3 linked regions of the Drosophila melanogaster genome follow. The protein of the gene in region 1 interacts with the protein of each later gene in a pairwise test. Each region holds a gene or a part of one and is shown in the gene's direction. Other genes may lie near its edges. The genes, in order: CG16813, Pif1A and REPTOR-BP.

The links.
Region 2: the proteins of CG16813 (region 1) and Pif1A come close enough for resonance energy transfer, tested with the Drosophila melanogaster proteins (one study listed by BioGRID).
Region 3: the proteins of CG16813 (region 1) and REPTOR-BP interact in a two-hybrid assay, tested with the Drosophila melanogaster proteins (2 studies listed by BioGRID, with this or other methods).

What each region holds. Positions count from the first base shown.
Region 1 is NT_033779.5:13,225,490-13,229,100, forward strand, and holds CG16813 (uncharacterized protein), read left to right. Parts: upstream 1-2,039; 5' UTR 2,040-2,119; intron 2,120-2,210; 5' UTR 2,211-2,363; coding exon 2,364-2,918; 3' UTR 2,919-3,032; downstream 3,033-3,611.
Region 2 is NT_033777.3:8,798,177-8,803,105, reverse strand, and holds the start of Pif1A (PFTAIRE-interacting factor 1A), read left to right. Parts: upstream 1-1,929; 5' UTR 1,930-2,231; intron 2,232-2,326; 5' UTR 2,327-2,412; intron 2,413-3,161; exon of another isoform or gene 3,162-3,644; intron 3,645-4,929. Other genes in the region: CCT7 (chaperonin containing TCP1 subunit 7), read right to left, coding at 1-27, 101-920, 987-1,247, 1,426-1,428.
Region 3 is NT_033779.5:10,262,410-10,265,633, forward strand, and holds REPTOR-BP (REPTOR-binding partner), read left to right. Parts: upstream 1-1,715; 5' UTR 1,716-1,798; coding exon 1,799-1,855; intron 1,856-2,139; coding exon 2,140-2,224; intron 2,225-2,354; coding exon 2,355-2,476; coding exon of another isoform or gene 2,477-2,480; intron 2,481-2,537; coding exon 2,538-2,630; 3' UTR 2,631-2,702; downstream 2,703-3,224. Other genes in the region: Rsf1 (repressor splicing factor 1), read right to left, coding at 407-1,009; Mob3 (MOB kinase activator 3), read left to right, coding at 3,111-3,152, 3,212-3,224. UniProt on the Drosophila melanogaster protein: Transcriptional regulator that acts in the TORC1 signaling pathway to regulate energy homeostasis and promote survival during nutrient deprivation.

The sequences.
Region 1 (3,611 bases):
GAAAGTCCTTTGTAATTAATTTTTCATTTGCTGCAGCGCGCTGCTCGCACCTTCTATTGTGTCTGCCTAGTCCGTCCGGGTTTTCTTGGAAATTTCCCTGCCGACTTTCTCGAGAAGCGTTTTCTACCTCGAAATCTGGCCAGCGCCTGCGCTTGCCACTCTTTGATGCTGGGCCACGTTGTCTGGACGCTTCGGAATCTGGATTCTTATCTCGCTTACCGCTAATCTGCCTCATTAAGTTCTCGTCCAGGGTATCCGGGTATACCTTTATGTACCTTCGGCAAAATGCCAGCCGCTGCTTAGTCACAATGGTCATTGAATGGAAATTTATTGGGATTTTCCCGAATCGATGGGTGCGCGTCTGGCCTAGTCTGTTCACGGGATTTCTTGGATTCTTTTCTTTTTTGTATAATAGTAGAGTCATAATTTATGGAAAAGCAAGAAATTTTGTTTATAATATGTCACTCACTATATGATTATTATACATTAATTAAACATTATTTTTTGTTGGTTTGCGATCATGAAAGATTGGTAATGTAGAAATTAAAATATTGCTATATGAAATCAGACTATAAGGTTTTCATTTTATACTTTTTCAAAACTAAACCTTCAAAGTGAAAATCTTGTGATATAAACAATAGAATATTGCTATACTGCATTATACTATAAGGGTTATAACCGACTTTAAATATCATTAGTAAAGATAATGTTTTATGATATACAAGTACATAAATATGTAAACACACACACATATAGGTTTTTCTTAAAGCAGTTTATTTATTGTTTAAAATTTTTAATACATTTAAATGCAGTTCGAATTTTCATTATTGTAAATACGTTTACTACTGCTTTTACTATTTTACAACTATACGAATTTAAAAATATATACATATATCCTTAACTTTTCTATTCCCTTTTTAAGTGAATTCTTAAAAGTAATCTTTGGACTTAATTTAATATTCTAAACCATTCAAAGTGAATAATCCTTGGTATATTTATACAAGGTTATCCTGGACGCAAGTTGATACAATCGTTGCTATCATACAAAGTTATATATTCTCGATTCTGGATCATAATATTTTAAATAGACATTTTTACCTATTTATTTTCATCTACATAATTCCTTCTTGTTTCTCAGAAAAAAGCAAACTTTTCAAGGCTAAAATTTCCCATCGCTGAAAAGATCTACTCCTTAGAAAAATATATGGGAATCTATTTTCCCATCCACCATCCTGTTAATACAACATTATATAAGACAACCTTTAATTGTATCATTGGTGAAAGCACTTCCTGGTAGGATATTATTGCTCTTTTTAAGGTCATTCCCCTTGAAGGAATGAACAACACCTACCCTGGAGGACCCAATGCAATCGATTCTCTGCGTTCCAGAACAGATGAAAATTGATCAATATAATAAAAGGAAAACAATCAAACAATACGACAATCTTTCACTGTAATACTTCAACTGAACAAATAACCAACTCCCACTCCGCTCCTGCTTATTGACTTTGGGATTCCTCGAGGAGGGCTCGTCTCAAGCCCACCTGAAATAAATCCGCTTAGGCGGAGGAACACTGAAATGTGAGAACCATCTACCACATATACATTCGTTCCCTGACGGCATAAATCAATGGACAATGGACCATTGAATGAAACGGAAAAATCCGACATAATGCCAAAGACACGAAACCAGGGAGCAGAGGGAGGAGCATTCAGTAATTGCCGGTTTTCTAGGTTTGCTAGTATGTACATGTACCGGGAGATTCAGAAACTCCGAGACGGTTTTTCTTCAGCTGTCCAAGCTGAAAGTCATAAACGCTTGTTGTTCGAATCGAGATCGGGCATTGAAAACTGCAGCATGTCTGCTATTCAGGTGCCACAAAGAAAGCCGAAACAATAGCGGGTCGGCCGGCAGACAGCCTGGACGAATTGAGCGCCAGGATTAGAGATTACACAGGGATCCTCTACACAGAGATCCCTTTTTCGGGCCCGACAACAGGTAATTTCGTCGAAAATCGTCGGCCACGTAAACAGACGAGGCAAGGACAACAACTGGTTTATGACACCCTTTGAGAAGATTGCCAGCCTGCGGATTAGGAACTCCCTATTCCCAATTCAGGTAACAGCAGCCGATTAGTTTTGGTCCCATTTTTAGGGAATGAATGAAATGCGTTGGGGAAATACCTGATCCGTTTTACCGTGATCCCCAGGTACGTGATGGGAAAATCTTTGCCATTTGGCCATTCCGTTTTCGTGGGAGGCTCTGCAAGTTACCTAATGTTGCATAAAACGGATGGCCAGGAGGAGGGGCAGCACAGTCGTCTCGAAGACAGCAAAGCGAACACCACTACTCTTAATCAAGAATGGATAACTATAACCACAAGAAATTCACTGGAGCTCTGAAGCGAAAGCGCAGCATGGATGCGGACTCTGATGACGATGTGGTCTTCATTATGGAACAGCCGGGCCAACGCACTCCAGAGCAGCCGCAGCCTAAGCGTCGCTTCTTCCGACCCTGGATGGATGAGTCTCCGGAAGAGGAGCAACCACAGCCGCCACGTAAGATTGTGGCTACATCGACACCGCCGCCACAACAAGTGGATGGCACCTACCACGCTAACATGGTGCGCAATCACCACAAGCGCCGCCAGCGCAGTCCACAGGAGCAACTGCGTCGGGATCGCAACACCTTGGCCAGCCTGCGCCATCGACGCTCCCAGCAGCAACAGCAGCAGCTCATCGAACAACAATACCTGACCAGTCGCATTCAGCACGAGGCCAATCTGCAGCAGCAGATCCGCCTGAGTCTCTACTATGTGCGCTTCCTGCAGCAGGCGATGGCCTCCACGGAGCCACTGCCTCCCACACAGCCAAGGCACATGATGCCGCGCCAACAGACCACCACCCAGCATCCTTGAAGGGTGGACATGGTGCAACGACTGGGCGCTGCTCAATGCGCCCTAACTTATTGTAGAAAAGCTGAATAGTGATTGTGATTACTTTTAAAGTTTAATTTATTTATCTGGTTGACTAAACAATAAACACACTAATTGTTATCGAAATAACTTGTAATTTTTATAGAATTTTGTAATAATTGGTTTTTAGTTGGTTTCTGATTGATTGAAATCTAACTCGGGGTCTTATTTATTGAATCTTATTTGGAAGTCTGATATTTCTTTTCCGCCGTTTAACATCATGAGGATTTGTTCTAGACCAAAACTGACCGGAAGCATCAGCTCATAAGAGTTACCTCACTTGGTTTTTCTGCCATTATATAACATTAAATACATCTTATGTAATTAATTTCTTGGAAGCGCAATTTGCAATGCTAATTAAGGTGTGAAGTAATTCTAGTGATTCACATAGCCAGACTACAGTGAGAATTGAATCGATTCGGCACGAGTGACATATTGTGGGAAACACGGAATAAAATTGTAATTTATTTCAGTTGGATTTAATTATTTAATTTATAAACAAATCAGCATAGCGAACGAACAAAGTGCTTGCAAAATAATTAAAACACGGTGACAATAAGATCCGCCTTTATATTTAAATAATCATCAATGAAATCATCATATTGTTGTCCGCGATTAAAAATTGCGCAGATAAAT
Region 2 (4,929 bases), on another chromosome or scaffold:
GGGTGCTCGTCTTGGCATTGGGGCAGCCTATTTAAAATGGAAAATAACAAGTGGTTGTTAAAACGAGTCCTTCAATTAAGTATACGAATAAGATTCTTACCTTGGAAGAGGTTGAAACGTTCGCCGCCCACTTGGCGCTCCTCGAAATGTTCGCACAGGCCGAGTACATTGGGCTTAATGTCGTTGGCCGTCGTCATTACGGCTCCACCGCAAGCCTTCATGGTGCGCTTAAGATCTTCTTCGGGAACGCGGCCGGCGCAGAATATGTCGCGGTCGGCGAAATACTGTGTGGCCACATCACCGATGGGCAGCTTGGAGAGGACAACATTGGCGCCGGACTCGTGGATCTTAGCCAGCTTGTTGTAGAGGATCTGCCACTCGGCGTCGACCACCTTTTGGTACTCCTTGACGTTGTCTACGCGGATCTCGGCGTTATCGCGCTCAGCCTTAAGCTCCAATTCGATGTTGAGCAGGGCAATTTTGCAGTTGTCATAGGATTTGGGGGCCATTTCAAAGCCGGCATAGGAAAAGGTCTTCTTGAAGGCCACACCCGACACTAGCTGTGACTCCTCCAGCGAGCCACCGGTCACCTTCTTAATTCCAATCATGTTGAGGGGCAGCAGCTCATCCAGGGAGAGCACAGCATCGACTACAATGCGGGAGAAGAAGTCCTTCTGCTGGTGAATCAACTTGGAGGACATGGCAGTGGCTGCGCACTTCTCAAGGAGAGCACGCTGCTGGTCCTTGGACTGTTCGACAATTTGGACGGCCATTTCGTTGATCTTTTCCATGCAGAGCTGCAGGGCCTTGCGGATGGCCTTAATGATGACTCGTGGGTGCACTCCCTCCTCCACGAAGGGTTTCACCTGCTTAAGGAACTCGCCGGCCAGCAGAACCACGGACGTGGTGCCGTCACCCACCTGAAGGAGAAGTCGAATCAAAGCTTTAGCAGTGTCACGTGCGTCTCAGGGGTGCCAATCACTTACCTCGGCGTCTTGTGACTTGGCAATGTCCACCAGGGTCTTGGCCGCCGGGTGGATGATCTCCAGCAGCTTCATGATGGTGGCTCCATCGTTGGAAATCGTCGCCTTGCCGTGGGCATCCACAATCAGCTTGTCCATGCCGCGGGGACCCAGAGTGGTCCGCACTGCGTCCACGATCGACTGGCAGGCATTGATGTTGGACACCAGTTGCGGCTTGCCCTGCGACGAGTCAGTGCCTTCTTTGAGGAGCACGATTTGCGGTTGCTGCGGATCATACGGATATAAGGCGAATATATAGTAAAAGTCTCCAATTAGTCAGCAGATGTCGTCGGCTTGCGAGAAGCTTCTTTGCAGGTTATGTTTACAATCTCATGCCGCTCGCGGACGAGTCCATGATTGGGATTCACTTGGTTAGCCTCGGATTATTTCCAGCCGGACTTACCATATTTATGTGATGGGGTTGGCCTTTAGCACGTATTACAGTTTAAAACAATAAAGTTCCTAGCAGACAGGCGGCAACTTGCTTTTCGTTCACGTTTTCCGCGATGAGTAATGGGCCAATCGATTAATCGTTGTTATTTTGTATTTAATCGATGCTTGCAGCCAGTGTGAACGTTTGGGGACTTAGTCGCACTTTACAATGAAATTTGAAATCCTAACTCATAAAAAACTATCTATTTATTTCTATCTTGCGATTTTTTAACTTTATGGTACAAAGCTAGTTTCCACACTTTTTGATGAACATTTTAAACTAATATGATATGCAGCTGGTAGTTGTTATCGAAAAAGTTATCGATGGCTCCATGACGTCACTCTTGACCGGCGAGCGGTTTTTTGAAATTGCTCCCAACTTCAAATATAGATTTGTGATTCCTTCTATTTATATAAATTTGGCGATGCACGCACGCATGTCGCTTATTCCATTTTAGAAAGTGCGCCGCATCTTCAGTTTGTTCCTACCGCTCAACTTGAGTGAGTTGTGCACCGAGCAGCAATTAAATGAAAAATAGAAGAGTCATTTGAAAGGCCAAAACGCCAGAACATTCAACCGCAAATAGGTTTAAATGAAAGAAAGCATTCTAAATCTAATTCGGTCATGTGGAATTGGAATTTTAGTTGCCCAAGACTCCTCTTAACGACGACATCGAACCACAAGGGATGCCAATGGATACTAACCGGATACTAGACAATTGCCGAGTGATTATGAAACAAATCAGGATGCTGAACCGACTATGAAAAATGCAAATAGTGAGTAAGAAAAAGAAAAGTGAAGTGGGGCTCCCACACGATAAGGCACTCAAATCAAAGTGCAAAGTTTGTTCCCCTTTTGTGCTTTTATTTAGATTTCCCCTGTGTTGACTGACTGGAATCGGAATGTGTTCTAATTGTGTCCATCATTCATCGCGTCGTTAAGGCGATTGTCAAATTTGTATGTGATTTGTGAAGATTCTTCAGCTGTTGGGGATTATAGACATAAAGATATTCATACGCAATACGTTTGGCATTTAAATCGAAATTAAAAGTATGAAATTTTAATTGCCATAAAAAGACTATAAAAAAGTTGAGCAACTTAAATGTTTTGCAAGTATGTTTATTACCAAATTTATTTACTTCTGGTCTAAACATATAATAATAGATGCACGTTTCAACAGCTTTAATGTCACGTCTTCAGATTGCTCTTAAACTTAAACTAGCACAAATGCTTTGTGCTGATATATGTTTGAGCAACGCGCCTTAATCATGCGGAAGTACTTATAACAATGTTTACACAGATATAACAATTTAACTGAATTTTATCATTACTTTATCAAACTTATACCGAATTAATATCCAATCAACCTGAAGTTCCGATATCTTTTATTTCACTGTTTGTTATTTTGACCAATTTCGTGGCGGGTTGTGTGCATATTTTGGTTATTAATAAACACGCGACTGGTTTTTTTTTGTTATGAAGTCGGGAACCGGGAGGAAAACATCTTCGGCTTTCAATAGATGGGCTCTTCCGGCTTCACGTCGGCCATTCTTCGGGGCACGCACACAGACCCGAGCTTTGCCACCCCATAACCCCAAGAAGTGCATGAATAAATGGCAAAGCTCCTTTTAATTAAATGGAAATGGAGGCAAATGTGAAAGAGCTTGCGAAAGCTCGAGAGGCCGAGTTAGTCAATCGGTGTCCGGCCGAAACGAAAGATCTCTGCTATCGCCGAGCAACGAAATTTACCTAGTATAGAACACTTCTTTTAATTTACAATTCAAATTGATTGCAACTAATTAGGATACTCCCCAAACGAACCGAACATAACTCACTTCTATTCCGACGAACTTGTGTAACTTAATTGATATAATTTCGAACTTCCTGTACGAACTGTGTGAATATATTTGAACAAAAATATATCATACTTTGCTTAACAATTGTCGAAGAAGTGCTCCACATACCGACGATATTCTACTTGGTCTGTGCGCGAAAAAAGTTGATTGAAAATTAACGTATTGACGTCATTACACTGCAAGAAACAGTGGCAAGCAGGCAGTAAATAAACTGTTTACATTACAACATCGTCGGTCGACTTAGTGAGTGAGTGAGTGAGTGAATAAACATATACAGAAGTTTGAGGCACACCAACTGTTGGTCTACGACGCCCAAGGATTTCAGAGCTAATGGTGCGTATACGTGATCTTCGGTGAATCAGCCGAAAGAGCCGCAGACTGTACACTCGACGGCTGACCGACTCATCGTTTGGCAATATTTTCAAATTGATATATGACTGAAAATATACATACTTAAAGAGCAAAAAAGAGACTTTCATCTGCCCATGTGGATGGCTGTGGATGTGGATGGCAATCGAGTGGGTGGCTTTGCTCGTATAAAACCAATCCCAACCAAGCCGGTCACACCGAGGCTGTGATGTCACCATGGCGTGTATGTCGACCCCAAAAACACTTTATTATCGAGTGGACTGGGGGCGGTTTTAAATTTAATTAAATGAAATGCAACATGAGAGCCATCATTAGCCCCAGTCCTTCAGTTTATAGAAAAGCCACAAAATAAATATTACATACATTTGGAACGAACACCTCTTTTAGGGTAGTTTTTCCACTAACAGTTCGGTTTTGAAATACGTCCAAGAGTCAATATCATAAAGTTTACTAATAATTACTTATAATTTATGTTGATAACCAGAAAGTAATAAACTTGGGCACCACTCACTTAAGATCCCTCCCTATTAACACCTAGTGTATCGAGCTGGAAAAACAAATCAAATTCCAATTAGGCGCCAGAAGGTTGCTAAGTACACAAATCTGTCGCTCTACATGTGTATATAGATCGTGGCCTTGATAAAGATGATCGGCCAGAAATCTCGGAGAGCATTCTATGAACATATGAACTGTGGGCCTACTCGTGTGTGCACCTCATACAGTATATATATAGATGCTTTGTTATAATCTTTGGGGCGGATGTGGGAGCAGTGCAAAGAATTCTGTTTCTGTAGAACAAAAAAAGTAATGAAAAGCGGTTTTATTGCGTGTAAAGCGCCCCAGTGGGGAACCTCACAAAACAAAAAAAACACATGTACATATGAATGTACGTACATATTCTGTTCTATTCCAAAAGGCGCGCCACATGACGTCATTAAGAAAAGTCATTCCGGACCAGTTTATTTGGTAAGCCCAACGCAATTGGCGTTGTAAACTATTTCCCAGTCCCAGGGTGCCTATATGTTTCGTTTTTCATTCATATGTGTGGCCCGACCCGATGTGGCGAAATGAAGGAAAAAGCTTTTCCGCTGAAATCAATAATGGGGGAAACTTGTTGATTAGTTCAACCCAGTGAAGAAAAGCGTTGAAGAGTCTACGGCTAAACAGAAGCCATTGAAATGCTGACAGACAAAGGGGAATCTTTGCGATTCTGAAGAAACAACCTCCATGCGGGCAAAGACTCGGAATT
Region 3 (3,224 bases), 3.0 Mb from region 1:
TTTTGCGAAAGCTTTTATGTATACGAGAAACTGTTCCGCATTTCCTTTATTAAAATTGCGTACTTCTAGATTTTGGTTTGACGTTGTTCGAGTCTTAGCGTATTTTTCTTACTAGTTTTCTACGTTATAACTTAAATTTTACGTGCTTGCAATTGTCATGTTAATGGGTATTCGTTAAATAAATAATGAAGAGACGACGACTATCAGTTTTTTGTTTTTTCTTTTTTTTTTATCATTCTGTTGTTGTTGTTGATGTGGGGGAATGAGGGAATCTGTTGGACGATCGAAAACGATCGAATGCTACGATTTTAAATGTTTGAGTCTGCGTTTTACGGTCGCGCTTAAGTTATTATTTATTAATCTTTACTCATAGGCAATCCTTAAGCAACTATGAGTGGTGTTGTCATTAGAATCGATGGTTTCCCACCGGCGAGCGGGACCTGAAGCGTCCGGCCGACTGACCACCAGTGCGTCCGTAGCTGGCGCTACTTCCGCTGCTGTAGCGGCTGCTGTCGCGTCCACCGCCGTAAACCTCGCGGCGATTGAAGCCGCTGCCGCCGCCCTCTCTGCCATTATAGCTGCTTGCACCTGATCGGCCGGAGCTATAGCCCCGCTCCGTGTGCCGGCTTGAGGATCCGCTGGATCCGCGCTGCCGGAAACCGCCTCCGCCGCTACCACCGCTTGTGATGCTGTGCCGGCCAAAGTCGCCGCGTCGTCCGCCCCTGTCCATGGGTCCGCCACGCCTACCCTGGCGTGGCCGCCCTTTTGAGATCTCCACGCGCAGCTGGGAGCCGAGCAGCTCGGATCCGTTCAGTATGTCGCACGCCTTTTCGGCGTCGTCGCGGTGCTCGAACTCGACGAACGCAAATCCCGGCGGATTGAAGGCTATCCACACCGAATTCAGCTTGCCATACTTTGTGAACTCCCCCTCCAGATCATCCTTTTTCACTTTGTCGGTCAGATTGCCGACATACACCCGTGTCCCGCGCTGATCACCCATGCTGGACATCTGGATTCACTGTTTCTGATTCGTTTTCGGAGTTATCCTGCAAATCGGATAGCTGCCTTGAAAAATAAATAATCAATAAGTTATCACCACCGGACAATTTAGCGTTTGTATCTATATCAACTTTTCGACCAGGGTGGTTAAACTCGTTGCAAAAATGCTAATTTTCAAAAATATCCTCGCATTTGGAACACTGAGAATGGACGTGTGTTGGGATGTATTTATAGTTTAACGGCCCCGTAAAAAGGGACTTCCCGCTGCTCTAGTGACTTGTATTTTTAATTATTTTTATACTTTGTGCTGGGAAATGTATCATGGTAATCTGAATAATACGTCAATTTAATTTATATAATTTTATAAATATTTGTATGATCTTTAGTAAAGTAAATAAAGTAAAACAATATATAAAATGTTTGTTAATATATAGCCGTGTACTTTTATATTTTCTTCAAACCCCAAATAATGAATAATTATATTGAACATTTATTAATTATTATTTAATTAATTTATAATTTAACTATTATCATAATTTAACTATTTAAATATAATGACTATTATCATTTTAAGTCATTAAAAGAAAATTTGTTACGATTTAAACTTTATTTATATTTTTGTTCTTAAATATAAAATACAAATAGTTCCCTTAATGTGTTCCATTCCATCGTTTCTGTTAAGATATATTTCGATTGGCACCTTTGTGTGTAGTGGTTTTGTTTATTGTTACCTTGAGTATTTACGAAAGACGCATAATAACAAAGAGTTGCAAAGTTGTTGTATTATTTGAGAGTTATAATGGCTGATATGGAGATACAGAGCAACAAAATGTCAATAACGGAGGAAACACAAGTGGTAATATATTATTAAATATAAAAGATGTGGTCTTTTTGTTTGAACATGATCTGAATTGTTCTAATGCGCAGTAAGGCCTTGCGTGTATGTATATACACATATATAAGCTATCTTCTGTGTATGCGTGTATATACATATGTGATTTTTATCATGCAAAAGCGCCTATTTTCAAAAAAGATTTTAAGTTTGACTTATCGGAACTAAATTTTTGCGAATAAGAATATTGAAAGCAAATTGTTTTTGGGATATCGTCAAATATTTACATTTTATATTATATTTATAAGCAGACGCGCAAGGAATGTGGAAAAAGGGGACGAAAACCAGGAAGAAAGACGTCTACTGAAAAATTGGACATGAAAGCCAAACTAGGTAAGAACAACATTAATTTCCACTTATAATACTTAAACAACGGTATTATTTTTAATAGTAACAAAGTTTCCAAACACTAATACATGTTATTTCCTATGGAATTTTATATAACGTGTATTTTCCCTTGCAGAACGCAGCAGACAAAGTGCCAGGGAATGCCGGGCGCGCAAGAAGCTGCGGTATCAGTACCTGGAGGAACTGGTGGCGGATCGGGAGAAGGCTGTAGTTGCTTTGCGTACGGAACTGGAGCGCGTCGGTATATAACTTATCATGCCACGTCCAACCAATTTATTTATTCTCATCTTTATTGCAGTTAATTCAATGGAATAACCAGTTGAGCGAAAGCAACACTCCAACCAACAATGACCAGTTACTTCAGGAACTCGGAATCCTCAAACAAGAATAACCTACATTCTTATTTTTAGCTTAAGAATATTACTTTTATAATAAATGTACGACGGTTACTATTTATATTATTACGAAAATACTGCAGAAATTTTTGTTATTTTCTATATTGCATTTTACAGCTTTTTATTGTTTCATTTGTATAGTGATTAAAGCCAAATTAAAGTATTTTTATGATAAATAAGAACTAATTAAATATTTGTTATTTAAGGGTGTTAAACCAATTGGTACACTGGAACAGTGATATATGGAACGATTATTCTAAGGGTTCGATAACTTAGTCGTGAAAAGCCTATCAATGGTTTCTCCCATCTCTCCATCGGCATAAAAATACAGAATAGTCTAAGGAACTGAATAAATGTAAACATTATTTATAAACAGCCATTAATAGTTATTCAATTGACAAACTTTTGTGCTGTAAGCAGCGCTTACATATGTGCCAAAATATTCTCACAACCAACAGAATCTCCAACAAGATATTATGGCTTTAAATGGATTTTTAGAATTCTTCCAAAAGGGCAAGGTGTGTTTGGTCAATAACAAAATCATATGCAGTTGATGTATTTTTAAACTAATTTTCAGACCTTTAGGCCAA